2 linked regions of the Notamacropus eugenii genome follow. The protein of the gene in region 2 interacts with the protein of the main gene of each other region in a pairwise test. Links are inferred from orthologs where the notes say so. Each region holds a gene or a part of one and is shown on either strand. Other genes may lie near its edges.

Region 1 (16,168 bases), on a different chromosome or scaffold from region 2:
TCTGCGCCTGAATGTGCTGCGGCTCCTGCGCCTGCTGCTGCTCTACCGCCGGCACCGAAATCTGCAGGGGGTTCTTCACTTGAGGCTGCCCCTGTACCTGAATCTGCCGCTGCTCCTTCGCCCGAGGCTGCCCCAGTTTCTGCCTCTGAGCCTGGATTTGCTGCTGCTCCTGCGGCTCCTTCTGTTTCTTTACCTGCATCTGTTTCAGCTCGTGGTCCAACCCTGCAGCCTTCTCTTTCCCCTGGCCTTGCCTCTGCTCCTCCAGCCCTTGCATCTGCTCTCGCGCCTCTTCCCGTCCTCGGCCCCCTCTGTCTCTCTCCTGTTCCTGCTCGCCTTCCTCCTTTAGCTCCTGCATCTCGCCCTGTTCTTGGTTCTGCCCCTGATCCTGCCCTGAGTCTCTGGAATGCTGCTCCTGCTCTTCCTTCCCGTTAAGTTCTTGGTCCTGGTCTTCATCATCCTCCTGCGCTAGGTCCTCGTCATTCCCTCGGTCTTCCTTCTGTTTCTCATCCCCGTCTACCTCCTGGCCCTCCTCCAGGCCCTGTTCTTGCTGCTCCCCTGATTCTAAGGACAATGAGTCTTCCAGGAGCTCAGCCGCAGCAGGGGCAGCCAGCTCGTCGTCTTCCGATTCCTCCAGATCTATCGTTTTCCCGACCAAACCAGGTTCATCCCTTTTCGCGATGTTTGGGATCCTTGCCGGGCCGGTGTCCCCTTCGCTGCCACCAGCCCAATCCGCTCCGCCCTGACTCTGACCAAAGACGCTGGCTTTCACGGCACTGGCCCCCAGGATCAGCCACAGGGCCCAGAGCAGCGCGCGGCCGGGGGGGATCATGGGGATGACAGGTTTCCAGGCAGTTTGGAGAGGTAGAGATGGGAGGGGAGGGAAGGGGCAGGGGCTCAGCTTCCTTCTCCCTCCCTCCCTTTTCGTTCCGGACTCCCGGGTTCGTTTGAACTGAGGGGAAGTCCGGCAGCTCGTGACACTTCCCCTGGGGCGTTGCGTGGAAACCGAGGGACCTCGCCATAGAACTCCCAGCCCCGCCCCGACCCCTATCATCTCTGCCTCCTGGGTACACCTTTCCACCAGACATGCGTTGCAGGTAGGACTGGCAGGCAAGGAGATTGTGACTGTCATTGGGATGGGAACTGGGGAGGTTTCCTTCACAAAATTGAGTCCTCTCTCGTAACTTAATTTATTAAACTGCAGTTTGTTGTAGAGGAAGAATCTAGATATGAAGACAGCTACTGAGACAGGCAGAAAAGCAGCTCAGACAGCTCACTCCGCCTAATACAGTCATGAGCACAAGCAGGCTGCAGGTGAATACTCAGTCCAAACCTGCCTTGTTTCAGCCCAGCCCTTAGGCTTACATGGAAAGGGCATGGCGTGGTGGGAGTTGAGAATTCCCTGGATCCCGGAAATTTGAGACGTGACAACACCTGGATGAGTTGGAAAGGAAAATCCAAAAAGGGTGAATGAATTAGGGGAGAGAGAAAGACAGACACTCAGAGACGGAGAGAGAATGTGTGTATAAATTCAGGAGGTTCAGTAGCTGGAGGGCAGTCTCCTTCCTTGGTTCTAGGGTCCATTATCCAACTCAAACATCAGTGTTAGGTCCCTCCAGAGCCATGCAGATCCTTGTCCAGCCTAGGTTGTAGGGAGAGAGAAAGGACAGAGTGGAATGGAACCTCCACAGAAGTGGACCCTACTCTAACTTGGGGGAACGAATGGATCTAGTAAATATATGTCTGAGTCCTTTCTACTTTTCCCCACTCCTTAGCTTCTCTACATAAAATCTGCCTCTCAAAACTCTGACCAGTCTCCCCCACATTGTGCATGAGGGATTTTGGTTTCAAATGGGGCTTTGCTGCTCACTATCTGTGTAATCTCCCCCCTCCCACTTAATAATACTTTATTTTTCCAATTACATGTAAAGATAGTTTTCAATATTCACTTTTAATTAGATTTGTTTTCAAAATTTTCTCTCTCCCCACCCTTCTCGCCAAGACAGCAAGTAATCTGATATAGATTATACATATACCATCATGTTAAATATATTTCCACATTAGTCATGTTACTACCTGTGTAATTTTGATCAAGGCACCCACATTTCTTATCTTCAGTTCCCTCCTCAATAGAGAGAGGACATTTGAGGCCCCTTCCAGTTGTCCATCTGTGATCCCACGATCTTCGTCCCTCCCCTCTTTCCAAACTCACCTCAAGAGAGTCTTCTCTTCTAACCCTATCCTCCTCTGCCCACTCTTTTTTGTTTCTCTGGGATTTTACCCAGCCTATACCCAACATATGTGCCTGGGCCAAATACAGAGAACTCTTATGTCACTTTCTTGAGTGCTGCATCTCCCAGTTAAGTTCCAAGTTCTGAAGGGAAGAACTAGGTTTTTCATTTCTTATCTCTCCACAAGATTCTGCTTGTCTACTCCTCCCCTCTCTCCCACCCTAGGAGTCCCTCCTAGAACTCACTGTCTGACAGCATCAGGGATGTGGATATGTTCCAAGGAGATGAGCTGGGCCAGCTCTCCTAGACTGTCCAGAAAACGAACCTTTCTGCTAAACTTGGAACTCAGGATAGAGGAAAGGTCATGTACATTTAAGATTAGAAAAGTGGCTGTCATACATAAGACAAAGGTAATCAATGGCTAGTTGGGACAGGGGAGAATGGTTAGAACCAGAATGAGGGAGGGGAAGGTGGGAAATCTGAGTTTCAGTCCTCAACTCAAGGAAGAGAGGAAAGGGCAGTGGATCTGAGGAGCAGGACGCCTGCATCCCCCAAAGTAAATACCTGATAAAAGGCCGGAGCATCACCAGAAATGCCTTCACATACCATGTGGCATGTACAACCACCAGTGCACGAAGGTTTTTTCGGAGTCTGAAGCAGAAAGTATGGGATCATCACATTCTTCTTCTTGATCTGTGCCCCAAGCCCAGAGGGAGGTCTCCTCCAAATCTTCTTGGTACCCCCTTTAATCAACATCCATTTGCAGTCCTCTCTCTGAGGTCTAACCCTCATCCTAGCTGCAGTCTAAGACCTTCACTTCTTTTTTTTGTCCCTCATGCCCTCCTCATTCTGAAGAAATTCCTGAAATGCCTTCTGTCCCTGATCCAATCCAAGCCTTCACAATTTCCTTTTCTTTGCACTCCCCTAGCCATAGTTTCCTAGTTTCTTCCTCATTCTTGTGTCTCCTTTGCTCCCTCTTGCATTCTTTCTATTCCACAGAGTTCTTGTACCAGAACTCCAGGTGGCACATGCTCAGTGAATAGAGGAGAACAAGAAAGGCTGAGAGAAAAAGGAAACATGGGTCTAGAAAGCAGGGACAAAGCAAAAATAAATGAGAAAGAATATTTGGAGAAAGGGAAAGAAAGAAAAAAGGGAAGGGCAGAGAGAGAAAAGGATGGGGGAAGATGAAGAGAGGGAGAACAAGGGAAGAGAAAGGAATGAGATCAGAGAAGAAAGGAGGAGGTAAAAAACAGCCAAGAATAATGATCTTTGACAGGCTTCTCACCGACGGTCCAGGGTACGGTAACATTGGCGGATCCAGCTCAGTGGGGGCACCTGGGCTCGGCTTGTGCCTCCATTCAGGTGGACAAGCAGATAATTCTCAGCTACTAGTAATTCTAGAGTCCCCACTATGTATCTGAGGGTGGAATTGAGGGGGAAGGGGAATGAAAAGTAGAAAACGGTGTTGTTGATGACTGATTATGTTATAGGTCTTTCTGACTTCTTTCCCTCTCCCTCCTTCAGTCCAATCTCCCCACAGTTTTTCAGGTTTCCCTCCTCACCTAAACAGGTGCTCCATGATATAACTGTAGTTAGGGATGCTGCTTCTGGGTAGGTAGCAGGAAGCAAAAAGGACAACAGCATTGAGGCCATCGCCATGGTAACCTGGGGAGGACAAGATTAGGGGCAGGAGGAAAAAGAGAATTAGTAAAGTCTGAGAGAAGTAGCTTGAGGGCAGACCAAGAGGGAAAGGGACAGGGAGTTAGGAAGTTAAAATGGTGAAGGGGACTATTAGTCCCAGCTCAAATACTATTAATTACAGGGAACCCAACTCCTATATTTATTACCTCCATGAGACAGGACCTTCTTATAGGGTTCAATGACTGTCATATCCACTCGAAGCTCCCGATGTCCTGTTCGGAACACCTTCCACCGATGACCATCCTCCCCAGCCACATCCCATACACAACCCTGGCCCAGTCTTTCAGCTGCTTCACTTGCCCCTAGGCCTTCTGTTTGGGGAAGCTCATCTAAAGAGACAGGAATCGCTAAATTTACACCTCAGTACTCTTGGGTGTAATAGAAGCAGTGATCATGACCACTAAGTTACATCCCATACACCTCCCTATCACCCCACTTCAACCATTATTTCCCAATTCTCAGTGACCATAGCCACGGTTGTACCCACAGTGGGGATAACTGGTGGCCTTGTTCCATTTGGGGACTCTAATGAAATGTCCTTTCCAGCTCCCAGTTACTTAATTTTTATATACCCACTAATTACTTTTAAAGCCTGCCCCTTTGATATAAGTCTTGCAAAGACACACACACACACACACACACACACACACACAATATGTATGTATGTGTGTACATATATATAAATTTATAAGTGCATTATATTTAAATATATTAAAAATGCACAGATACACACATTCCTGGTTATGTTAGCCCCACCCATTGCCTTATAGCTCCATTCCCATACTGATCTCCCACTTGTATCCTCATTTTCAGGATCAAAACATTTAGAGTTAAAAGAGACCTTAAGGATTATCTAGGTTGTACCCCTCATTTTACTCTGAGGTCCAGAGAGAGGACCTCAAATTTAGGTCCAGTACAATTTTTATTGAATTTTTTTAACTTTTTTAACTGCTCTTTTAGTTCACAGAATTTAAAAGACATGTTGTCCAACCTCTACCTACTCCCCCCAAAATCCCCTCTAAAACATTCCTGACAAGTGGTTATCCAGCCTCTGCTTGAAGATCACCAGTGGGGGAACCAACAACTTGAACAATTCATGTCTTAGATCAATCCTATTAACTTCAAATGATTATTTCTCAGCTCTACTAGCTATGCCTCTTACGGACTTATTAAGTACATCTTTACCCTCACTGGCCCCTCCCCTTATTGTGCCTCCAAAATTGTCTCCCACTCTATTAGCCCTGTTATTCTACCCCAATCCATTCATTCCACCAGTCCTCAGTTATTCTAGTTTAGTTCTTAGCCTCAGTTCCTACCTTCCCATTCAAATTCATGCCCACTGTCCAGCTGTTCTGAGTCTGAGGGAGTCTCCAAAGCATCCACATCTAGGTCAGAGCTAAAATGTGGGGAAGGTGTGGAGAGGGTGGAAGAGGCTTCTTTATCTCCTGTGTCCTCCCCCAAGTTCAGCTGGAGCTCTGGGGCTGAAAGGCGCTTCCGCATGTGACGCCTGCCACATAGTGCTAAAGTGTTTAAGGGACCTGGGGCAACAGGGAGAAGAGAACTGAAGAGAGGAAAAAGGTAAATTAAACAGCCTGGGAACAACAAGGGAGAGGGAGGAGGGTAGAACTAACGAGAGGGACATGAGGGAAGGAAAACCAGGCAAGTGTTGAGGATGGACAAGGGAGGCCCACCCTCCCCACAGTAAAAACCAGGGCTTGGTACCCAGCTCTGACCTTACTCACCCATCTGGGTACCTTCTCTATTGTCCTCTGGATCTTCAGAGGAATTGATCTCCTCAGGGAGCAGACTGGGATGTGGGGAATTAATTAGTTGAAGAGAGCAGGAAGAAGCTGGGACTCGGGTGCTAAGTCCTGCCCTTCCCACAGTAACTTTGCCCTCCTGTCTCCCCAGCTATGTTCCCAGAGTTTCCTGAGCCTCTTGTCCCCATCCTCTCACCGGGGGAACTCTTCATCCTGCCACTCTTCTTTCAATTCCACTTCTCCAAATCTCAGTGATGGTCCCGGCTCTTCTGCTTCCACATTCTCTCCAGCCCTGAGACCATTGCCAAGGGACAAAGGAATTGAGAAGTGGTTAGGTGGGCAGCGTTATTCTTGGCAGTGATAGGAAGAAGCCAAGGGCATAAACAGCAGACCCATAAGAGAATCTGGCCAGATGTCTCTTCCCACTCTCTCGGTGAACCAGATGATCCCTACTCTTTGGTTTTGAGGACAGAAACAGGAAAAAGTATAACTTGAATACCTTATACCTAACTCAGTTTCCCCACCTGCAAAGTTAGTTTGAGAGGCAGTCTATATTGCAACTGGCCTGAATCCAGAACAGATCTACCCAGTTGTTTGTTACTTTACAGTTAAGGAAGATGACAACCAGTCAGGCCTGCCTTTCTCCAAACTTTTGTGGGGTGGGGCCAGGGAAATCAAGGTATAGGTCAACATCAGCTAGGTACAAGAAACCAGTCAAGAAGGTCCTGGTTCCAGTTTCCTTGTTTTGGAGAGTGTGGATTAGAACTGAAAGGATGGATAGAATCATCATGTTTTCCCATTTTGCCCAAGGAGCTCTTTTGGGGTCCTTTCTGTCTCTATACTTTCTATTTAAAACTATCCCTGTTCTTTGCCAAAAGTAACGACTTTGTCCCATCTCCTCTATAAAACCACCCTGAGCTTTGGCTTGAGCCCAATTAATGGGACTCAAAGAGATGCCCCCTCAAGACCAATGATAACAGGTTTCCAAAAGACAGCCAGGTGAGAGGGGAAGGCCCAGCACTTACCCAACATCTTTTGATTCCTGTAAACTTCCCATCTTCACAAGTCTCTCTGTTCCCTAGATATCTAACATGAGGAGTGGGGATGAAGCTCCCTGTTCCTTCTTCCCTCTTGTGCTGCTGTCTCAGTGACTGCTCTGATGGCCTCCAAAAGAGGAGGAGGTAGAGAGAGGGAAGTAAACTCATCTTCAAACAGGTTTTGCCACCTCCCCTCCCAAAGAGGCTTGCCCAAAGAAAATCCGCCTCTTTATGCAGGGGTGTGGGGAGTGGGTGGGTGGGAAGAGGATGCTTTGGTTCCCAGACTAGATTTCCAAGGGACAGGTAGGTTGGGGTAGAATGAAAGCAAAAGAATCTGTGTATATGAGGAACTGGCCTTTCCCCTTTCTCTCCCAGCCCCTTGGCCTTCTGGAGGTGCTTAAGAGAAAGCAAGTACCTCTTTAGGCCGCTCTCCTCAGTCGCACAACTGATATGATTCTTGGCAGCCTTACTAGGGTGAGCAAGGCTGGGTAAAATAGAGAAGGGTGTAGGTCTCTATTAACAGAGAAAAGGGCTCGAACATGGCATCATTTATTTTGGGAATAGATAAAGAGAACTGGAGATGGGTTGGGGCAGTCACTAACCATCCATATTGAAGAGCAAAACTGGGCAGGGGAAGGATGAGATTTATAGGAGGAAGGCAAAAGGAGAAAATGTAAAAGTTCAGTTTTTTAAAAAGAAAAAATGACACAGGACAGGAAAAATGCATTTAATGCCTTAACAAAGTGCAAAATAAAACTCCCCACAATTATAAAACACAAATTCCTTTGGTTCAATGATTATGCCATTGCTTTTTTTCTTTCATATGGCTGCAGACGTCCTTCAAAGAAACAGTCTACACACACACACACACACACACACACACACACACACACACACACACACACACACACACACACACACTCTCTCTCTCTCTCTCTCTCTCTCTCTCTCTCTCTCTCTCTCTCTGAGAGACAATGTCATGCCAAAAGGTGGGAGATACCTAAATACTCAGTAAAGTTAATGGCAGCACCTTCTCTGCTCATCTGGGAACATAAAGAAGTGGAAAGGAAGCAGGCCGGTTGGAGGGGTACAGGAGGCCACTACAGGGGAAGAACAGAGGGCGAGCCAGGGAAAGGCTGCTCCTATGCTATGATTCATATACTTGGATATGCTACATGAGGCTGAGTCCTTTGGCCTAATCTCTCTCTCTCTCTCTCTCTCTCTCTCTCTCTCTCTCTCTCTCTCTCTCTCTCTCTCTCACACACACACACACACACACATACACACTCACACATTTCAACAATACTGGACCTTGCTGGGCTGAGTTGGGGAGAGGGAGAAATATTCCCACTTCACATCCTCAAGTAAAAACTGATAGAGAAAGAAGACAGAAAAATAGAGGGAGAGACAGATAAAAGACGTACAGTTGATAGAAATCTTGGTGTTCGATAAAGATTAATTCATTTTACATAGTAGGAAACAGAAGCTCAGCAAGGTTGACTGACACCCACAGTCCCACAGTACAGACTTAAGTTTTCTTTCTTTTTAAATCTTTGTTACAAGGGATGATTCACTGGGTAGAAGAGTGAGGTGGGATATATTCAGAAATGTAAATACAAATTCAGATGTAAATACAAAGGACATCAATAAAATAAAACCCAAAGTCAGTAGAAATCACATCTCCTGACTTTCAGTCCAATTCTTTCCACAACACCAATTGTTCTCCTAAACAAAGAGAGAGGAAATACTGGCAAAGAGGTAAGAAACGTGAAAGAAATCGAAGGTAGGGGAAGAGAGAAACAAGAGACAGATCAGAGACAGATAGACACAGACAGAGACAGAGGCAGAGACACAGAGAATGAATCATTGCTTCAGTTTTACTGTTTTGAGAGAAAAGTGTCTTTTGAAAGTGACAATGATTCACTGATTAGCTCTCACAGATGTGATCAGGTACTAATCTTTAAGAACCTCTGGCACTCTGGAAAAGGGGACTAGAAGAACCCTAAAGCCTAGTACCTGCTCAGAAAAATGAGACTCACTATCTGGCCTCAAGCATAATCCTCTGCAATGCTGGAGAGAGTCCACAACCAATTTTATGGAACCAGCTGAATGGAAATTTAACTTTCAAGTTAAATACTATCATCTCAATAGTGGCAGACAGAAAAATCATGGTCCTACATTTCATAAATAGGCTGAAAACTCTGTAAGTTTCCAAAGCTATCTCTGCTCTACCTAGCACAGGATACGCAGTCAGGTACCCAGTCTTTGTTCAGATAGGGGCTGACAACATTGATGGAGTTCACCTGATACCATTTTCTTTTTCTTCTTAATATCTACCTTTTCACAGATCTGTGTGTGAGATGCTATACCCCTGGGTTGTAAAAGAATGAGGTCAGTGCAGATTTCCAGAATTTATCAATAGAGAAAATTGGCTGATTGGTAGAGAACTGGCAGGGAAGGTAGACAACCATCCCTACAGCCATCACATCTTTGACTTGTATCTCCTTCCACAGCTGTGTGAATAGTGGCCCTGGGTCCTGGAGCAATGAAGAGAATCACAGAAATTCCCTACATATTCCAAATCATGCATTCAAGCTGGGCTGGGCACCTTCTCCCACTCTGTTCTGCAACTTCCCCCCTATTCCCACACCATAGGTCACTTCTTCTTCTGGGGAGGACTGGTAGAGGAACGTGCCATTGTGATCTGGCTACATTTCTCAAAGATAGCCTCAGCTGAGAGCTTAGGTAGTCCCCGATCCAGAGGGCACTCGTCTACTAAGCTGTTCATGGGTGTGGGGGGCAGCACAGGTTCCTCCTCATCTCGAATCATTTCGGGAATCAGGGTACTAATGGCTTTGTCCAGTTCATCATCTATCTGCTCCTGAGAGGAGCCTTCTGGCCCAGGCGTCCCTGAAGGTGTCTTCATGGCACCAGGATGCCCCCATAGGGCATCTCTGAGGATGGGGAGAACTTTCTTCCTGGAAGCAAGAACATTTCCTTGGAAATAGGCCCTGAGGTTAGGGTGGGGGGATGGGGCTGGAGTCAGATTCAGGGGTGGACAGCTGGAACATTCCAAGGCTCCACAGATCTAAGGAAGAAAAGATAAGAATGAATGAACTTTACCTCCTGAGCTGAGCTCCTAAAATAGTCTCATCCTAAAGACAAAAGGGGTAACCTCATGCTTGAGATTTTACACCCGTCCCTAGCTGTGAAGAGAGAAGCACTTACCTGGAGAATAAAGGGAAAACACTGTGGAGCTGGAGTGAATAATCAAATGCAACAGAAAGAGGAAACAGTAGAACATATCGAGAAGAATAAAAACCAGTCTTCTAAAAGAGGCAATCCAGATGATATATGGTACAGGGTCCTTGGGTATGGCCTTATGACTGAGTCCAAGTTTTACTGAACAAATCTTTTTATTAAGGGGATTTGTTTTGTGAAGTTTAGATTCAAAGGTCCACTTGAGGACCTAGAGGGTCACATGTGGCCTCGAGGCCACAAGTTCCCCACCACTGGCACAGTCTGAGAAGAGGGACAGAAGGGCCTTGGACTCAGTAACAGTAAAGGGAATGAAGGACATTTCCTGCTTCCCTGAATACCCTTTGCCTTCTGAGACTGAATCAAATTGTCCAGCCTGGGCAGCTGGGAATAGGGTAGAGAAAGGAACCAAGGAAAGGATGGATATAACTTATTTAAGTGAATAAAAGTGTCTGATTATGATTAGATCATTCCTTGACATCTCATATGGCCCTAGAAATCCCTTCGCCTTTCTACCTCAAAATTTTTCCCTGAGTTAATCAGTAACCATCAAGAGGTGAGAAAAGGGCAGATGGGGCCAGATGATTAACAAGATTGGGAAAGGGGCCAAGTCCACAATATTTTCTATAAGAATATCACCCAATAATTAATAACCCAACTAATTCTTTCATGGTGGGAAGAATTCACCTGAATTTTACAGAGGATTGTATAGAATCAGGTATAGAAAGGAATAGGCAAGATCTGAATGGAGAGTGGATATGGATAAAGGATGAGTGACTAAGTAAAGAGGAAAACCCAGAACTGATTATCAACTTAGAATAGCTCCATTCAAACAGATTTAAAATTCCTTGAAGGTAGAGACTATGATTCATGTTTCTATTGTAACTTCTCCTGCCACCAACAGCCAGGATAAGGCTATAAACTCTGTTAACATTCCAAACAAAAAAATCAGGTTCTATATCAAGGTAACTTTCTGTACACACAGAGTCAATTCAGGGTGGATGAGAGCTATCAACAGAGTTCCTAACCCTATGGTTAGAGGGAAGTTAGGTTGAAGGGCTATGGACTCACCATACTCTGGAGGTCCATGCTAGGACAGAAAACAACCAGATGCCTCACTGGTTCATTATCAGGATTGAAAGTGATAGTCATAGCAACAAAGGCATCATAACCATGAGCTTGGCAGAAGGCATCTAGCTCTGCTGTGAGGTTGGATTTCTGAAGGAAGACCTGGAAAAGAAAAAAAAAAGGGAAGGGAGATGTGAGAACCATACGGAGGTACTCATCAATAAAAACCCATGTTTTCATGGAGTATGCTAATGTACAAAGAAAATTACCTGCTATGTTCAAATATTTATTGAGTACCCACTATGTATCTTATTGCGCATGTAACTCCATGTGAAGTGCAACTGGAGATACAGAAGAAATCTAAGAGTTTCTGTCTCCAATAAGCTTTTAAAAGCTTACAGTCACAATTCCTCATCTTCTAGGTGCCTTATATACAAACAGAAAAATAATCATGCACACAAAGTAAAGGACAGACACAGGAAAAGAGAACTATTTCCCCACTTATTCTTTGCATATTCATGATCTTCATTCATATTTTAAAAAGTATCTTGCTACAAATGAACAAATAAGATGGAATAAAAATACAAATATAACATCATCTGAATAATTAAATATAACCATAATAATGTAACACTATTTCCCCATCTGATCTCTTTTGTATACGTACACTCAAAAGTTTTGTTACTATTATTTTTTACAGTTGTCAATATACTTTGTTCTTATAATTCTTTGCATCAATTCATGTCTTTTCACACTTCTTGATATTCCTCTTATCAATGCAAATCTTAACATTTTTAATAGTGCAATAGATTGAAATAGCACAATTTCATTGTTCAGTCATTACCATGTTGTTGTTCATTTATGCCTCAATTAATGGCATAAATAATAAATTAATAAATCTGGAGGAATTACCCCATGGAGGCTGCTCATACACTCAATAGCCTTTTAACTGTCCTAGCTAAAACTAAGAAGGCCCAGCTGTTCCATGAACAGAGGAACACCTGGAGGGAAAACCTGATGGAGTCATAAATTTTCAAACTCTGGTCCTGGTTAACTGTAAATTCTTTAATGGTTAGGTTCTACCAAAGAAAGGCACATGCCACCTCAAATTAATTCCTACTGTACTACCTCTCCAATGCTGCTCATAAAGCCTTGGAACAAGTTGCATGCCCATACGAACTTCTCCTAAACTTTAATCCATATTCTAATCACAAATCATCTTCCATAGCCCCACTTGAACCTGGTTCACCTATGAACTATTGGGGATCCTTTGGAATCCCTGCTCCATCATTAATAAACTCTTCTACATCCTCAAACATTTCAAAAAGTATTCTTTCTACCCCTTCACCTAAATGGAAATCCAGGTCTCTCCTGAAGACATTACAAGCCTTACTATCCTCTCCCCAAGTGGTCATTCCTTCTGCTACTCAACTGTCACATTTGCTTGTTTTTTTATATCTTTAGGGCTCAGCACAGTGCTTGGCATATAGTATGCACATAATAAATGGTGTCTCTGTTTCTGTGCATCTATGTAGCCATCTCTTCCCTTTCTCCATCTATCCCTTCATCCATCATCTAGGATGTCTAGGTCGTTCTTTTTTCAAGTTTTTTTTTTTTTTCAAATCTTATTTGTTTATTTTTAGTTTTCAACATTCACTTCCATAAGATCTTGAGTTCCAAATTTTCTCCCCATCTCTCCTCTCCCCCCACCTGAAGAAGGCATGTTGATACAGGCACTACATATATATTCACATTGAACCTATTTTCACATTAGTCATGTTATGAAGAAGTATTAGAGCCAATGGGAGAAACCATAAGAAAGAAGAAACAAACAGAAAAACAAAAAAGAGAGAGAGTAAATAATATGCTTCAATCTGCATTCAGACTCCATAGTTCTTTTTCTGGATGTGGATGGCATTTTCCATCATGAGTCCTTTGGAGCTATCCTTGGACCCCTGTACTGCTAAGAAGAGATAAGTCTATCAAAGTTAGTTATTGCATATTGTGCCTGTTACTGTGTACAATGTTCTTCTAGTTCTGTTTACTTCACTCAGCATCAGTTCATTCAAGTCTTTCCAGGTTTTTCTGAAATCCACCTGCTTATCATTTCTTATAGCACAATAGTATTCCATTACATTCATATAGCACAACTTGTTCAGTCACTCCCCAACTGATGGGCATACCCTCAATTTCCAAATCTTTTCCACTACAAAATTCTTATAAATTTGACTCAGTTCTCCATATATTTTAGAAATAAGGCCTTTATCAGAGAGAGTTTGTAAAAATTCCCTCCTAATTTTGGTTCCATTGGCTTTGTTTGTAAAGTAAAAAGTTTGATAAGTAAAAACTTATCAATTTAATGTAATCACAATTATTCAATTTGCACTTCATAATGTTCTCTATCTCTTGTTTGTTATAAATTCCTCCGTTCTCCTTAAATCTGACAGATTAACTATTCCTTGCTCTCCCAGTTTGCTTATAGTATCAGCTTTTATATCTAATCATGTACCATTTTGATTTTGTTTTGGTATATGATATAAGATGTTGGTCTATGCCTAGTTTCTGCCATACTATTTTCCAGTTTTCCCAGCAGTGAGTTCTTTGGGATAAGTGAGTTCTTATCGCAGAAGGTGGAGTCTTTGGGTTTATTAAACAGTAGATTACTATAATCATTGACTATTATGCTTTGTGTAGCTAACCTATTCCACTGATCTACCACTCTATTTCTTAGCCAGTGCCAAGCAGTTTTGATGACTGTTGCTTTATAATACAATTTAAGAACTGGTGTAGCTTGCCTACCTTCCCTAGCATTTCTTTTCACTAATTCCCTTGATATTCTAGATCTTCTGTTCTTCAGATGAATTTTGTTATTATTTTCTTTTAGCTCTATAAAATAATTTTTTGGTAGTTTAATTGGTATGGCATGGAATAAATAAATTAACTTAGGGTAGAGTCATCATTTTTATTATAATACCTGGGCCTACCCATGAGCAACTGATGTTTTCCAATTATTTAGATCTGACTTTATTTGTGTGAAAAGTGTTTTATAGTTCCTGGGTTTGTTTTGGCAGGTAGACTCCTCAAAATTTTATAATGGAATGAAATTAAATGAAATTTCTATCTCTCACTATTGAGCTTTGTTAGTAAAAAAGGCAGGTGATTATGTGGGTTTATTAGGTCATTCTTTCAATCTTTTCAATTACTTTAGTGTTTTATTTTTCTCTTCCCTATCATCCAGTATTCATGATGACAAGTCCTCTAATAGCCTGATGACACAACTGCTCAATTCCATAACCTTCTCTATGCTATCTCTGCCACACAAAAATGTGGTCATGACTTAGAGCTTACTTTAAGAAATACATTACAATCTTGAAATTCAACCCTCCAACCCAAATCTCATTTGTTAGTATGGCCTCTTTAATTTTTCTTTTGCTACACTTAATTGTGTACATGTTATGTACCCCAGCAAAAACAATCAGCTTCTTCAGGGTCATGATGATGTTACTGTTTCTTTCTCTCCCCCATACTTAGCACACAGCCTGGCACATAGTGGGGCCTCATAAATGTCTAGAAGATTGAAATGAACCTCTTATCTTTCTGCCTCAAGAAACAGCTTGTAGGCCAGTTAGGCTGGAACTCAGACAAGTGAAGGAGAGTAATGTGAAAGAAGTATGAAAAGGCTGGCAGGAGCTCAGCTTTAGAAGGCTTTAAAAGTCAGGCTAAGGAGTTTACATTTTATCCCAGAAGCCACAGAAAATTACTGAATATTTCTGAGTAGGGAAGGACAACGTCAGACCCACGTGGAATAAATTGGAGGAGATACTAGAAGTAGGAATTACATCTTGATCTGATTCTTGACTGTTCCTCTAGGACCTGCTCACTCATGAATTTTCAGCTTCACCCTCACTACAGATACCTTCCCATCTATCTACAAACACTCTCAGGTCTCCCCAATCCTAAAAAAAATCTACTTCTCTTAACTCATCTAAACTATTTAGTTACTCTCCCATTTTCCTTCTCCCCATCACTGATAAACCTCTTGAAAATGTGGGTATTCTTAAGGATCTAAATCCTTCTCTGTGTTTTTCTTGTTCCTCACCTGCTGATTTCAGTAACTTCTACAGCTTCAACTACTTCAGTCATGCAGATGGTGGTGCACAAAACTCTGTCCTGACCTCTCTTCTGAGCTCCAACTGCCACTCAAGACACCTCCACCTGGGTCTGAGGTCCACTTGGACCTCAGAGTTAACACATTCAAACCAAGTTCTCCACAAACTATCTAATTTATGTCAATATACTTCACTTAATCTTCCATGTTCCTATCCTTGGGGTTGTCTTTTTGACTCTTCTCTCTATCCACACCTTCCTCTGATTTCCCAGACTTCTTAATTCCATCCCTACGAAATCTATTGAACTTTATCTCACCTCTCTTTTCATTGCTACCATCACAGTACAGACCCTCAGCATCATCTAATGGGATTGCTATAACATACCTCTTACAGTTCTTGCCACAACTTTATTTCCCCTCCAATATGTTCTTCATACCCAATAGAATAATCTTTCCTTTAAAAAAGTTTTATTTTTCTAATAACAAGCAGTTGTTTTCCTTCCCTCCCAATTTAAAAGAATAAAATAAAAACACAATCCTCATAACAAATATGCAGAATAATCTTTAAAATTTATAGAACCAATCTTCTGCTTAAAAACCTTCAGACGCTCTCTTCTGCTCACCAAGTACAGTTCAAACTTCCTTGCCTACAGCGTAAGGGTCTCTTCCAACTCAGTATCCTCTTATCAGGCTTATCTTGGGTAACCTGTGGTCCAGAACTTCTGGGTTATATGTATCAGCTTGGGGACTTCCCAGTGTATCTGTGGCTTTTGCGCTTAACCAGGGTTTCCCAGAAACATTAGAATTTGGCTTATATATGATGGCCCTTAGGTCTCATGTGAATACTTAGGATAACAAAATATTAAACACAGGCCAGGCTTTATTTAACCAAGAAATACACAAGACAAATCTACCTTCCTTCCCTCTCTAGTAGGCCACATCTTCTGTAGAGACGTAGCTAATCCTACAGATAGAAACCTACCGTAGGGTTGATACTGTCCTGTGAGA
Region 2 (15,122 bases):
CTGGTGACCTGCACAGCCCTCCCTCACTCAAAACAAAGTCAACTGCAAGTCATGTCATCATTTTCCTGATGTCACGGTCCTCTTGGAAAACGAAGGACAAACACAACTAAGTGTTGTGAATTCCAAGAAAGGCCAAAGATAGGGCCAAGGGCTAGGCCTGGAGACAGGAAGAGCCAAGAGTTCAAATCCAGCCTCAGACACTTTCTAGTTGGGTGACTGTAGGCAAGTCACTTCATCCTGTTTACCTCAGTTTCCTCATCTGCAAAATGAACTGGAGAAGGAAATGGCAAAGGGCTGCAGTATCTTTGCCAAGAAAATCCCCAGTGGGGTCAGGAAGAGCTGGGAACTAAACAGCAACAAATAAATGTTTGCTAAATTAATGACATGAGTTGAACACAAGGGGAATGCGCTGATGGACCTGGCCACCTGGAGACTTGTCGCACCCAAAGAGAGCATGCAGGAAGGGTCCTGGGGATGGGGAATGGAGGAGAGCTGGTCTCCAAGTCACCAAGACCTGGATTCAAGTCTGCCTGGAGACCTATTGCATATGTGACCTGGGGCACAAGACGCTCCAGGGCTCTGGGTCTTAGGGGCTAGCAGGTAGTTATGAAGTACTTGTACTTGACCCTCACAACAATCCTGGGACATAGGGTCTATAAGATCCCCACCTTACTGAGGCAAAGCTAGGCAATATTGGAGGCAAAAGTTGAGCTCAGTTTTCCTGCCCCTGTGGTGCCATACTATGTGCACTGTGGCGCCCCCAGCCGCTTCTATGCTCTGCGTTTTTCCTCGGCACTTAGCCCAATGCCTGGCACATGGTTAGCATTTAATAAATGTTTGTCAGCTGACTTGTTGACTCCTCTGGAAAACTGTAACAAAAGGATTTCTGTAATTCTCTTTGGTTATAGCTCTGAGCCGCCATTTAGAAATAGTGCTGTGGCACAACTAAATCTCTATTTCTTATCCCCATGCACAGAGGGAACCCAAGGGGTGAAAGGAGATATAAAATAGTCGCTTTGGGAGGCTGTCTGTGGCTGGGAAATTCAGCAGCAGAGCATTTGTCCTGACACTCCATGTGCCTGATCAGTGCCTTCCTTTCTTAGGCCTGGTCACACTCCTTGTGACAGCCTCTTGCTGCTCTCCCAGCCCCTCCTTTGCCCCCAGCACTCAATGTAGCATCAGAAAGTGAGTGAGGCCTCCGGCAACCCCGTGTCTGCCTGAATGTAAATTATCCCATTGTCTTCAAAGGACCAGCAAGACCAGTCAGTGCATCATTGGGTGCCCCCTCCAACTCAGTCAGACAGGGGTTCATACTTCATAAAGGGATAAAAGAATTCACACATTAACCTTTCCCATCAGGGATTACATGATGCCATGGAGATGGCCACAAAGCTGGGAGCTTGAGGACAGGAGAGGGAAGAGGGGGGGGGGGGGCCATCAAATCCTCTCTCCCTTCAGTAAAGGTGTCATGAACCTGATGCACCACCCCTACCCCCACTAGCTGCCTCCTCCTGCCACTGGACTGTGGCTCTGGGCACCTGCTCTTGACCTTATGTACTCATCCAAGATGCAAGGATGAGTGATCACAGTACTTAGAGGTTGGCAGGGGCCAGGTGGTAAGGAGAGGCAAGCTGCCAGCCCCTGGTCTTCTGCACTGATCCCTAGAAGAAGGCTCTAGAGAGTACTGCTGAGAGGGAAAGAAAGGCTGGTGTCTAGGCAGAGAGGACAGAGGGAGATCTATGTGGCTTTGGTGACCTGGGGGGACTACCTGGGGAAAGCTGGGCCTTGAAGGAGTTGGGCTCAATGAGAGAGGGGCAGGTTAGTGAGGGAGCACTCTAAAGAGGGCGGAATATGCCCACCTGTATACAGGCTGGCCAGAAAGTAGAGCGAGGTAGTCTACAGGTAGAAAAATGGCAGAGGACCAAATGAAGAGGTGAAGCCAGAGACTAGGGTAGGGCAGACTGGGACCTTGAAAGCTAAAATAAGGGGTGAGCCTTGGAAGAAAAGGGCTTTACACCCAGGGAATGAGAATGCTGACAAAATTCAAATCTCTGAGACTCTACCTGCCCCCACCCAGTGCAGGCCTGGCTTTGGGAAGGAAGGTGCCAAGCTGGAATCCTGGACCTTGGCCTCCAGGGGGCCCTGCCTATTCCCCCTCCCCACCCAAAATGATGCTATCTCATCCATGGCACCCCCTCTCAGAAAGGTAATCTGAAGGCATTGATCTGGGGAGCTCCTCATAAGGAGACCACATGCAGCACCTCAAACCTGCACCAGCTCTACTCCTTGTTTATCCAGGCCCACTGAGGGACTGGGCCATTGCCCAGATCACACAGATGACCAGGAGGTGGCCCAGGCAGGGCAGGAGCCCCGGTCTGCCCCCCAATGCCTCTCACACAGTAGGCGCTTACTTCATTCATTGGATTAAGTTCAACTGCATATGTGTGTTGACCCACTCTTTTCCTGGCACTGTTTATGAGAGGGAAACAGCCTTGCACATAAGTGCTTAATCAGTGGAGATTGGAAACAGGCCAAGCCAACACCAGTCGGTGCCCAGAGATGGCACAGTTTTTTGCCGGGTGGGGCTGAAGGAGGGTGGGACCCCTTCAGGGAAGATGATTCTGGGGGAAGAGTCAATGGTTGAACTGGGTGGGTTAGAGTTGCAGGATTCCCACCTTGCCCACTGCTCTCCCCCACCAGTCAGAGGTCCAGCCCCCATGCTCCCCCAGCATCTACATTATTCTGGACCAGGAAGGCAGAGGAGTTCAGAGGGTGGGTGCAGGCTCCCTAAGACACCAGCTTTCTACACTGGTCCCCAACGCCTCTGCTCCCGCAGAGCCCAGTGTGCAGCCATCGCCTTCTAACTGTGCACTGATTGGTCTGTCTCAGATGTCCAGCCCTGGGAGTGTTCCTTCCTACATGGCTAGTCTCCCCACTGACCTCTGAATAAAGGATTCGCCAATAGGATGCGAATAAAGGGGTCTGCCCAGGACTGGGACCAGACCCCCTAACTACCACCCATGCAGGGTTCTAAAGGCCAGAGAAGCCCCTGGCTCTGACTCCTTTTGCTGGGGATGGTCCCCCCAGCACTGGGCTGGGCTGCCACCTCCCCAAGAAATGGGGACACAGTCATTCTCCCCATTTTACAGCGAAGCAAGCAGGCTCCCAAAGGCTCTGTGACCAGTCTCGACAAGGCCCGGGGGCAGGGACCTGTTGCCTGCCTTGCCCCCTGCAGAGGAGTGGCTGGAGCCCCCACCAGACAAGGGGGAGGTGAGGGGTCCAGTCCTACCCATCTGGCTCCTGCCCCACAGCCTGGCCCTGGGCCAGGTGCCCAAGCTGGTTTCTCCAACTTTAAGTGGATAGAACAGGAGGTGCTCTGAGAAGCTAAGAAGCACGCTGCATCTAGGGGACAGGCCCAAGGCAGTGACCCAGGTCTCCTTGCAGGCCCAGACTGTGGAAAGGCTAGAGTGGGACAGGAGGCCTGCAAACTCTCCCCACCCCCAAACTGGTGCATGAACAGTTAGGAAGTAGGAAAGGCAGCAGAGCCAGGTGGCCTGTCCCTAGACCCAAGCCACCCAGGCCCTCTGTGAATGCCCCAACCATCCTACTGCACTGTTAAACCTGGCAGGTTGGAGTACCTCAGCTGCCACCTACCCAGGGTAGGAAATTAACCTGAGGATCCCTGGGCACCCTCCTCAGGTGGACAATGGCAGATAAAACATCTGCTCAGGGATCCCACCATTAGCCCCCAGCTTCTAGTCCAACCCTCCCCAGAACCTGGCACTAAACCGATGCAGTAAGGAGCTCAGCTGGGCCCTTAGGAGATTTTCCTGATCTTGGGCCTAAATTGGAGACTTTTAGCAAGGGCCTCTGGGAGCCAAGCCCACCACAGCCCAGGGCCAGGAGTCCAGGGTCTGAGTGTTGTCCCGGAGGCCACCCCAGCCCAACCCCCTCCTCCAGACCCTGTGCACAGAGCCTCCAGTGCCAGACTGTATAGTTTGGCACTGGGCAACAGCAGCCTTGGGAGGGGCCCAGCCCAGCCTGGCTACACTGCAACCTGCCCCCTGCGCCCAGCAGCAAGACTCCAGCCCTAACACACCAACACACACACACACCTTAAAGCATTTTATTATTTTTCAACTACAAGAACCAGGGAGGTATCACACAGCAAAGGGGACAGGCATGGGCCCAGATGTGTGCCCATTAGGGAGGTGTCCAGCAGGGGCCCTCAGGCGAAGGTGGAGCCATTCCAGCCCACGTTGGCAGCATTCATATCATAGTAATTGATATAGATCCTGGCAGGGAAAAAGGGGGTGCTCAGGCCCTGAAGTGGCCCCTGTGTGCCCCCCACCTTGTGGCACCAAGGCCCTAGAGTCCTCCCCCCATGCCCTGGGCCACTTCCTCCCTTCTCCGTCCTCCTCCAAGCCCCAGATCCTCCCCTCCCCCTCATTCCCCGGCCCCAGTCCTCTCCTCTCCCCAATACCCGCAGGCCTGGGGCCAGTTTAAAGTTTAAGCTGGAGAGCGCCTGGAGCGATCTGCCTGCCCAGTAGCCTCCAGTGACCAAGGAGGGGGGTGAGGCCCAGATTGGGGACCCCCGATCCGCCGCGCCCCCTCACCTGTCCCCCGGGATCTTGAGGTGCTTGGTGAGCAGCTCACAGAGCTGCTTGCTGTACGCCTTGTTCTGGGGCCCGCCGATCTTGCCGATGCTGTGCAGGCTGCAGAGAGCGCACGGGTCCGAGGAGCCCCCGAAGGCCATCAGCTGGTCCGCCGAGATGTGCACCGCGATGTACTGCGGGGGCCGGGGGTGGGGGGTCACGGGCTTCCCTGGGCCATTTACGCACTCTGCCGGGGCCCCCTCCCCTCCATCCCGGGGAGCACCCCCGCCTCCCCCGCCTTCCCCCCCCCCCCCCCGCGCCGAGCCCCCTCTCCGCCCCCTCCCCGCCTTCCTGGGCCCCCCCTACCGAGCCCCCTCCCTGCCCCCTCCCCGCCCTCTTGGGCCCCCCCCACCGAGTTCACTCCCCGCCCTCCCCCGTCGCATCCCCTTCCCGCCATCACAGCCACCGCACCCCGCGCCCCCACCCCCTGCCGGTCCCCGGGTCCACACACGCTCCCCGCCCCCGCCGGTACCTGGGCGGGCTTGCCCGTGGCCTTGGCCAGCTGCGTCGTGAGCTCGCTCAGCAGGGAGTCGGGCACCGCGGAGCGCGGCACGTTGGTCTGCACCACGAACATCGGCATCTTGGCGGCGGCTCCAGCGGGCGGCGGCGCGGGGAGGTGGGAGCGGGGCTGGGCCGAGCAGGAACGAGCAGCAGGGCCGGGCTGAGCCGAGTGAGCCTCCGCACGTCCGCACGCACCGAGCACCGCGAGGGACCCACGCGCGGAGGGGGCGGGGCGCCAGCGGCCCACGTGACTCTCTGGGGCCCATGTGGTAGCCGAGGAGGAGGGGTCGCGTCTGGACTCCGGAACTCGGCCTCTCCCGCCCCGCCTCCGTGCGTGCCGGGCTGCTCGCAGGCCCCCCAACCCCGGCCTCTTCCTACTCTTTTTTGCCCCCCCCTCGCACCCAGGGCTGCCCTTAGCTTCTGGCTTTGGGGATCTCACGTCGAAGGGGGCCCTCGAACAACCCGCGGGGGCTCTCCCTGAAGTGACCAAAAGGGCCTTTTCCCCATCCTCCTCCTCAGCCTCTCTACGGACTCGACACTGTTGGACCCACTCTCCTCTCTGGGTTTTTGGAAATACGACCCCCCACCCCACCACCCCGTCTCTCCTCCTCCCTCTCTGACCAGTCCTCCTTGGGCTTCCCGGCTGGACCCTCCTCCATGCCAAGTCCTGTGTTGTCGGTGTCCCCCTGGGCTCCTGGGCCCTCTGCCCTTCTCCCTCTGTCCCACTGCTCTGGGTCATCTCCTCAGCCTCCATGAGCTCATGCTGATGATTCCCAAATCTGCCTGGCCTGGCCTGACCTCTCTGCTGACTTCCAGACATCCCCAACTGGAAGTCTGTCCAGTGGACATCTGAAACTCCACATGTTCAATACAACTCCACCTTTTCCCTCCAACCCTCTTTCCTTCCCTATGACTGCAGAGGGCACCTCCATCTTCCTAGGCCCTCAGGCTCCCAGGGTCACCCTGTACTCCTTACTGTCAGCTACCAGGTCCAGTGTGGTGCCAAAGCCTGTCCATTTCGCCTCTGCTACATCTCTAGTCCATTTCCCCCCTGCTACATCTCTAGTCCATTTCACCTCTGCTACATCTCTGGTCCATTTCACCTCTGCTACATCTCTGACCCATTTCACCTATGCTACATGTCTGGTCCATTTCACCTCTGCAGCATCTCTGACCCATTTCACCTCTGCTACATCTCTGGTCCATTTCACCTCTGCAGCATCTCTGACCCATTTCACCTCTGCTACATCTCTGGTCCATTTCCCCCCTGCTACATCTCTAGTCCATTTCACCTCTGCTACATCTCTGGTCCATTTCACCTCTGCTACATCTCTGACCCATTTCACCTATGCTACATGTCTGGTCCATTTCACCTCTGCAGCATCTCTGGTCCATTTCACCTCTGCACCATCTCTGGTCCATTTCACCTCTGCTACATGTCTGGTCCATTTCACCTCTGCTACATACACTCTGGTCCACTTCACCTTTGTACTATCCCTTGTCAATTGCTTCCTCTTTAGGTCACAATCTTCTTTACACATCCATTACATACTCCTTAATATGTTTCCCCCTTTCTTTAACATATGAATTGTGCCTAATTTTGTGCTATTTCTCCCCCTCCCCCACCCCCAGGAGAAGTGAATATGCAAGGAGCTTATTAAGCAAGCCAAAGAAAAAGAAACCTTCCTGTTGACCAGCTAACTCTCAGCCTGTGCTCCTCACTCTCACCATATCTAATCACAGAAGACGCCTGGCTTTACCATCCTCAGCGTCTCTCCCATCAGTTGTCTTTGCCAAGGCAGGCAGTCCACACCCCACTTCAGCACCTTATCACTTCTCACTCAGATCACTGCAATATCACCTAATCAATGGCCTTGCCTGAGTCTCCTCATCCCCAGTCTTCCTCCAAACAGCTGCCAATATTACCTGGCTCAACCTGGTGTAGGAAGAGGGCTGAGAGGCCATCGTCCTTTTAATTCAGGCCTGGCTTTGGGATGAGATTGATGCCAAATGCCCTACAAGTCTTTGAGCATTGATCGATCAAAGATTTCTTTTACCCTCACACAACAAAGCCAGGAAGCAGGGATAGGGACTGGGGTCCCCCTGGTCATAGAAACATGTCATCAGGGTAGGAGGAGTGAAATCACAGCTAGACCAGAGCAAATAAAAAATAATGTCTATTATGCACAGTTAGTCACATGCTAACAAAACCAAGAACTCAAAGAAATAGAGGAATACCCTCAAATATGTAAAATACCCAAACTGGCAGAAGACCAGAGAGATCCTATGTAAACTGAGTCTCAGAAAAGAAGGTAGATCTAGTTGTGAGGGAGGCACCAAAGAAAGCCCCACTGGTCTCGAAGGCTTCACAGAATTCTAGCTAGCCTTTTAACAATTGAGGATACATGCATGTTTTTTGTGACTGCATGTGTCTAATCTATATCAAAGTCCTTGCCTTCTCAAGAGGGGAGGAGGGGAGTGAAGGGAGAGAATCTGGAATTCAAAATTTTAAAAGTGAATGTTAAAAATTAATTTTACATGTAATTGGGAAAAATATGAGAAGTTCATACACATGCTTCACAAATCATTCTCAAAAACAGAAAAATTGAGAAACCAAGCATCCTATTGATGGGATGCTTGGTTGCATGTACTTGGGCCCCAATTCTAAAATCACATTTCTCTTTAAAAATCACATTTCTCCCTAGCCTCAAAACACTCTCCCAGGTAGTTTCTCCCCAGCCCAAGGACATGGCCTGTCCCAGCAACAACTGTTTTCTCCCTTCCTAATACAAAAGCCAGCGGCATCTATAGAACTTATTAGTCTGAACCAGTTATGTACTGACTGAACTGGCTGTGTACTGGGTCATAACGACGTTTACTACTCGCTGACCAATCATATGTATTCTTACCTATACTCCTTTACATTAATCTTGTCTAAAAAGACATTGATGAGAGAAGCCTGATTTTTCCTGGTCAGTCCTGACCATTGGTTGACTTAGTGAAGTTTCAGGCCTAAAACCACACCCCCAGGCAGCCCCCCTTGGACTATTTCCTGATGAATTTTGGGTAAAATACCTGCGCAGTAGATATCCAAAGTGCATGTTCCTTTAAGAACTGACCACTCCCTAATCCTACCCCAAAACACCTAGTTAGCATATTTGACACAAGTGATCCTATAGAATATCCTATATAAACTTTCCCTGTATCTCTTTAAGGTTGCAGATTCCATAAGAACTCTCGCCTGCTGAAAAGCATAATAAATCTTTACCTTGACTTCAACAATGCTTGAGTATGAACTCTTCTCCAGACGACTTGCCCCTGGTACCCTCGGTCCAGCCCTCATCACTACCAGAATCCTCTTATGAGACACACGTTTTCCTAATACCTAAATCAGAGAAAGATAAAACAGAAAAATAAAACCCTTGGCCAATATTATTAATGAACTTTGATTCAAAAAATTTAAACAAAATCCTATCAAACAGGTCAAGTGGACTTTATACCAAGGATGCAAGGATGATTCGACATTAGAAAAACCATCAACATAGTCATTAAAATTCAAAACTTCCCAAACCAAATGATTATCCCAATAAATGCAGAAAAAGCCTCTGACAAAATACAACACTTTTATGAAAGTACATGCGTAGAGAGACTTCTAAAAAGACCATAACAAGAAACTATCTAAAGCCAAACTCTCGCATAGCATGCAGTGGGGAATCCTAGAACCTTTTCTAATAAATGTGAGGTTGAAGCAAAGATGGCCTCTCTCCCACTCTCATTTGATATCATCCCTGAAAGGAGAGCAACAGCCCTGAGATGAGAGAGAGGAAGGACAGGTATGGAGGTAGGGGAAGAAGAGATAAAACCATCACCACTGGCTGAAGGTACAGTGGCATCAGCAGAGGTACTAGTGGAGAAAATTAATAGCCTCATCAAAGTATCAGGGTACAAAATACATCCTCCGAAAACAACTGCATTTCCATATAACAATCACAAAATCCAAGCAGTGGTAGTAGAAAGGGAATTCCCATTTCAAGTCACGTAAAAACACATTAAGTGTCTGAAGATACATTGTTCATGCAGGACAGAAGTCTGCCCAGGGGGCCCCTAGAGCCAGGCTGCTCCATCATGTCCTGCCTGCCCCTCCTGGGCCTGAAGTAGGGGAGGATTTCTTCCCTAATGCTATGGCTGGAGCCCCCCACCCCCCTAGCAATGGTATCTCACTGCTGGGTACTGGTGACTAGCACCTAGCTCTTTACTTAGCTTTCACAAAGCGATATTTACTTCTAAGATACAGACATTCCTGCTTAATTCCAGAGGTCACATTCTCCCCTCTGTCTGGGGAGAGGGGACTCAGGCTTGGAGAGATTTCATCCCACTAACTTCATGCCAAATGACTGGTCACAGCCATTTGGTCACTTGTCGGCTCATGGAACTCTTTGGCATCCAGGCTGGGCCGGTCGGACCAAAGAATCCCAGAATCTCAAAGACTCATTCTCTTGACCTTTTTATGCTCAAAAGGTCAAAACCTCCAACTCCATCTATCAATGGACAGAATGAACCCAGAGGCCAACAAAGAACTGAAATCTGGCCTCCTCAGAAGGAGAGAGCCCCAGCCTGGCTGCCTCACACCAGACCATGAAGGAGGTATCCATGCTAGAGACAGGAAGTCTCTGGAGGGCATGTCTCTGCTCAGTTGAGAACCTGAAGCCAGTCTCACAGGCTGCTGCACACAAGGACCAGAACCAGGTGCAGAACGTTCCTACAGCCTCCAAAGTCTCTCCCTTCTGTGGCAAAAGGCATGCAGAATTTGGTAACATTGGGGGCATGGATCCAAATCCCTCTGGACTGTCTGGACTTCAAAAGTCTGTCTAAGCTAGTGGCCTCAGAGCTTGGGTCTTGGAACACCCTTTCTGTGCCAAGGCAGAACCTTTCACCATGGTGACTTCCTCCTGGGGCCTCCATCTAGGGGAGCTGGTCAGCTTCCAGGCCCCTCCTCCTTCTTCTCCAGAACCCCACCCCTTCCCCTGCAGCTTTTGAGGTAGCTAGTTGAGTCACACACACACACACACACACACACACACACACACACACACACACACACACACACCCCAAACAAAGTTGCTTCCATTTGTATTTCTGCCATTTGTGATCTGGAGCAATCTTTTCCTAGGGTACCCCTTTGAAAACCTGGACCCTTTGACCCTTGAGCTACTGGGGGGATGGTTCTTGGTCTTTACCTGCCAGACATCAGGCCTTTGTTATGCCAAGCTGCTGCCCACACTTCTTTCCCACTTACCCCCTTCTTTTCTCACCTCTAAGCTGCCTCCTTTCTTCTGTGATATCACTCCTTTCAAGGGGAGGGCTCTCCTCCTGCACCAGGCCCTTTGCTGCCCCTAAGAATTTTATCTTGTACATGTGGCAGTCCCTCCGCTGTGACTTCTCCTCTCTGGATTCTGGATGCTAACCCTTAGGGCAGGAGCTTCCATCAGCCACCACCAATACCCCACCATTCCCGGGGAGAATCGAACAGTAGGCTCCATTAGTTTTTGGTGAAGGCTGGAGTGAGAAAAGTTGGCACAAAATTCCTTGTGGGCCTCTTCCCCAAACCAAGTGCCTGCTCTCTTTGTATATACACTTTCCCTAGGGAGAATGGATCCAAACTTATAGTAAGATGCTATGAGGGACACTGGACTAAGGGGAACCACATAGCTCTTTGTGACAGAATTTATACAGGGCCACTAGGTGTGTATACCTGTGCATGCATTCCCTTTCACTATATGCCTGAGACTCCTCTTGTGGGGAATGTCCCAACCACAGGTCCTCTCACCTGGATCTGGTCAGCCAGACGACATTAGTCATCCCCTTTTCTGCTTTTAACCTATCAGAATGAACTTAGGTGGTGCAGTGGATAGAGCACCAGTGCAGGAGTCAGGAGGACCTGAGTTCAAATCTCACCTCAGACACTTGACACTCACTAGCTGTGTGACCTTGGGCAAGTCGCTGAACCCCAACTGCCTCATCTTGGGTCATCTCCAATCATCCTGATGAATATCTGGTCACTGGATTCAGATGGCTCTGGAGGAAAAGTGAGGCTGGTGACCTGCACAGCCCTCCCTCACTCAAAACAAAGTCAAGTGCAAGTCATGTCATTATTTCTCTGATGGCATGGTTTTCTTCGGCAATGAACACACACCTAAGAGCCAGAGCTTGAATGAAGAAGAGTCTGGAGCTGACAGTCTCTTTGTTCTCTCTGAAGTAAATTCAAAGAATGGCTTTTGCTATGTCAACAAAGCAGATAGGGCTGACAACACTCCTTAAGAGACCTTTAGCCTAAGACACTTTTTCTGAAATAATGGGACGTTTTCCATATCTTAATATTTTGTGGACACATACTATGTTATGGCATGTTAATGGTAAGGAAAACACAGATATCCTGAGTTGTAATTTCAATTGAAACTTTGTCAACTCTGTTAAAAAATGCCCTTTCCTGTATCAGCAATTTCAAAGACCTCTTTACGACAAGATGTCTGCCAGCATAGTGGTGGGATTTCTCTCTATCGTATGTCATAGAGATGTTATAGAGAAGAAATTTACACAGCCTGGAATCATAAATCCCAAGTAACACTACTTTGTTAACTGTCTGGTCTCACTAAATTTACAATTTGTTCAACTAGGAAAGATTCTTTCTCACGGTACAATGTATTTAAGCCTGATTATCCCTGTACTGAGCAGCCAGATTATAATGATTGGCTCCATGGAATCCGTGTAATAAAAATGTATACCTTTAGCCTGTTGCCTCTACTTTCACCAAACTTTCAAGTTAACACCGGTTGTGAAAGTTTGTCTTTCAAAGATTGAGCCTGGCCTGAGCTGGGGGCCAGGCCCAGGCGGTGCAGAATCTCCTTTGGCTCTGTTGAGGTTTAGATTTTGGGAGAGGATGGCTCAGGTTTTACTTAGACCTTCTCTTTTAGTCAATAGGAGCTTTTTATTTATTTATTTATTTAATACCAAAATGAGTGTGCATTTTATTCCTTCCTTTAGTGGGATGTGATGAGAGTAAACTTCATGTTTTTCTCTCCCCTCCCCTCTTTTTCCCTCCACTAAAAAGTCTTTTGCTTGCCTCTTTTATGAGAGAGAATTTGCCCCATTTCATTTCTCCCTTTCCCCTCCCAATATATTTCTCTCTCACCGCTTAATTTCATTTTTTTAAGATATGATCCCATCCTCTTCAATTCACTCTGTGCTCTCTGTCTTTGTGTGCGTGTATGTGTGTGTGTGTGTGTGTGTGTGTGTGTGTGTGTGTGTGTAATCCCACCCAGTACCCACATACTGAAAAGTTTCAAGAGTTACAAATATTACATTTCCATATAGGAATGTAAACAGCTCAACTTTAGTAAGTCCCTTATGACTTCTCTTTGCTGTTTACCTTTTCATGCTTCTCTTGATTCTTGTGTTTGAAAGTCAAATTTTCTTTTGAGCTCTGGTCTTTTCATCAAGAATGCTTGAAAGTCCCCAATTTCATTGGAAGATCATTTTTTCCCCTGAAGTATTATACTCAGTTTTTCTGGGTAGGTGATTCTTGGTTTTAGTCCTAGTTCCTTTGACTTCTGGAGTATCATATTCCACACCCTTCGATCCCTTAATGTAGAAGCTGCTAGATTTTGTGTTATCCTGATTGTACTTCCACAATACTTGAATTGTTTCTTTCTAGCTGCTTGCAATATTTTCTCCTTGACCAGGGAACTCTGGAATTTGGCCACAATGCTCCTAGGAGTTTCTCTTTTTGGATCTCTTTCAGGCAGTGATCGGTGGATTCTTTCAATATTTATTTTGCCCTCTGGTTCTAAAATCTCAGGGCAGTTTTCCTTGATAATTTCATGAAAGATGATGTGTAGGTTCTTTTTTTGATCATGGCTTTCAGCTAGGCCCATAATTTTTAAATTGTCTCTCCTGGATCTATTTTCCAGGTCAGTTGTTTTTCCAATGAGATATTTCACATTATCTTCCATTTTTTCATTCTTTTGGTTTTGTTTTGTGATTTCTTGGTTTCTCATAAAGTGATTAGCCTCCATCTGTTCCATTCTAATTTTGAAAGAACTATTTTCTTCAGTGAGCTTTTGAACCTCCTTTTCCATTTGGCTAATTCTGCTTTTTAAAGCATTCTTCTCCTCATTGGCTTTTTGAACTTCTTTTGCCAATTGAGTTAGACTATTTTTCAAGGTGTTATTTTCTTCAGCATTTTTTTGGGTCTCCTTTATCAAGGTTTGACCTGCTTTTCATACTTTTCTTGCATCTCTCTCATTTCTCTTCCCAATTTTTCCTCCACCTCTCTTACTTGATTTTCAAAATCCTTTTTGAGTTCTTCCATGGCCTGAGCCCATTTAATATTTATTTTGGATATTTGGGATACAGAAGCCTTGATTTCTATGTCTTTCCCTGATGGTAAGCATTGTTCTTCCTCATCCGAAAGGAAGGGAGGAGATATCTGTTCACCATGAAAGTAACCTTCTATGGTCTTATTTTTTTTCCCCTTTTCTGGGCATTTTCCCAGCCAGTTACTTGACTTCTGCGTGTCCTCTCCACACCCATCTCGCCTCCAGATCCAACCAGCCAGCGCTTGGGGTCTGAGATTCAAATGCTGCTTCCCAGCCTCAGGGCTTCAGTGGGGCAGGGCTGCTATTCAGTGTGAGATTAAGTTCAGATGATCCAGTAGGGGTAGAGCCACCACCGGGGCTCAGTTCCCTCAGGGGGTTTACGCTGAGACCTTCAACAATGGATCCAAGCTTCTGCCTGCTTTGGGAGCCCTTGTGTGCTGCTGCCTCCGCTGCTGTCTCCCAAGGGGACCTGAGTTATGGAGACACCCTGCTCCCCTGTCAGTGAGCTGAAAAGACTCTCTCACTGACCTTTGGTGCCTGTGGGTGGAGGGACCTGTGTGGCTGCTGGAGATTTTGTCGCTGAAGCCTGCTCGGATCTGCTCCCCTTGGTGCCACGTGGCCAAGGCAGGGCTGGGCTCTGCTCTGGGTCCAGTGCGTGATGGACCTTTCAGGTCAGTTTTTCAGGTCTCTCTGGAACAGAAATCTCCTCCACTCCATTGTTCTGTGGCTTCTGCTGCTCCAGAATTTGTTGGGAGTTCTTCTTTACAGGTATTTTATGGGCTGTGGGTTTGGAGCTAGCATATGTGTATCTTTCTACTCCGCCATCTTGGCTCCTCCGGGAGCTTTTTATTTTACATGAAAAAGCATCACAGTCCTCCTTAGCAAGAAAGCTAAAGGAGAATCTGAATTTGGGGGAGTTATGTTTATAGAGAGGTCTCAGAACGATGATGTCATTTTAAAGGTTTTTATAGAAGTTAAAGATTAAAGACAGGACAGGCTGACCTAGGATGAGGGAGACAAAGGGAAATCTTTATGGTTTAAGGATTTAAGGACAGGGCAGGAGATAGGTCAAACATTAAAGGATGGGGAACACAGGATAAGGGAGGCAAAAGCAGTTCTTTGGTCTAGGTTCAGGAAAAGGGGGGAAGCACTTTAGGAGCTTCAGAGTATTGGAAAAGCACCCCTTAGGGCACTGTCTGCACCACCTCCACTCCATCCCCAGCCAGCCTGATTTCCCTCAGCCCTCAGACAAAGGAAGAGCTTCTAGCCTTTGGCAGAGGCCCCTTTGAGAGGGCTTTCTTTCTAGGTCTGGAGGGTCAGTACCTCTCTCCATTGCACTGGGACCCCTTCTGTCCTGAGGAGTCAGGAGCCCCAGAGCTGGGGCCAGGCCTTTCCACATTCTTGGTTAGTCACTCCCTTGTTGTCAGCCCCTTTGGGGTTACTGCTAGGTGAGGGGGGGCACTGAGGAGAAACTCTCTCCTCTCCCTTAAGGAATTCTCTATCTGAGATAGACTGGTGCAGTCTAATGGCCAGCCGTCAGGCTGGGAGCCAGGTTTCAACAATGTAGGTGCTTAGAAGGTGTGGGAGGTTG

The links.
Region 1: the proteins of MIF (region 2) and BNIPL interact in a two-hybrid assay, tested with the Homo sapiens proteins (2 studies listed by BioGRID and IntAct). The link is inferred for Notamacropus eugenii from reciprocal best matches to the Homo sapiens genes MIF and BNIPL.

The regions. Positions count from the first base shown.
Region 1 is NC_092873.1:304,901,463-304,917,630, reverse strand, and holds BNIPL (bcl-2/adenovirus E1B 19 kDa-interacting protein 2-like protein), read right to left. Parts: upstream 6,889-16,168; 5' UTR 6,747-6,888; coding exon 6,715-6,746; intron 5,982-6,714; coding exon 5,886-5,981; intron 5,737-5,885; coding exon 5,672-5,736; intron 5,468-5,671; coding exon 5,246-5,467; intron 4,259-5,245; coding exon 4,076-4,258; intron 3,894-4,075; coding exon 3,791-3,893; intron 3,646-3,790; coding exon 3,514-3,645; intron 2,880-3,513; coding exon 2,591-2,879; 3' UTR 2,573-2,590; downstream 1-2,572. Other genes in the region: C2H1orf56 (protein MENT), read right to left, coding at 1-1,129; exopolyphosphatase PRUNE1, read right to left, coding at 9,383-9,814, 11,056-11,214. UniProt on the Homo sapiens protein: May be a bridge molecule between BCL2 and ARHGAP1/CDC42 in promoting cell death.
Region 2 is NC_092875.1:1,502,817-1,517,938, forward strand, and holds MIF (macrophage migration inhibitory factor), read right to left. Parts: upstream 5,713-15,122; 5' UTR 5,236-5,712; coding exon 5,128-5,235; intron 4,790-5,127; coding exon 4,617-4,789; intron 4,296-4,616; coding exon 4,229-4,295; 3' UTR 4,113-4,228; downstream 1-4,112.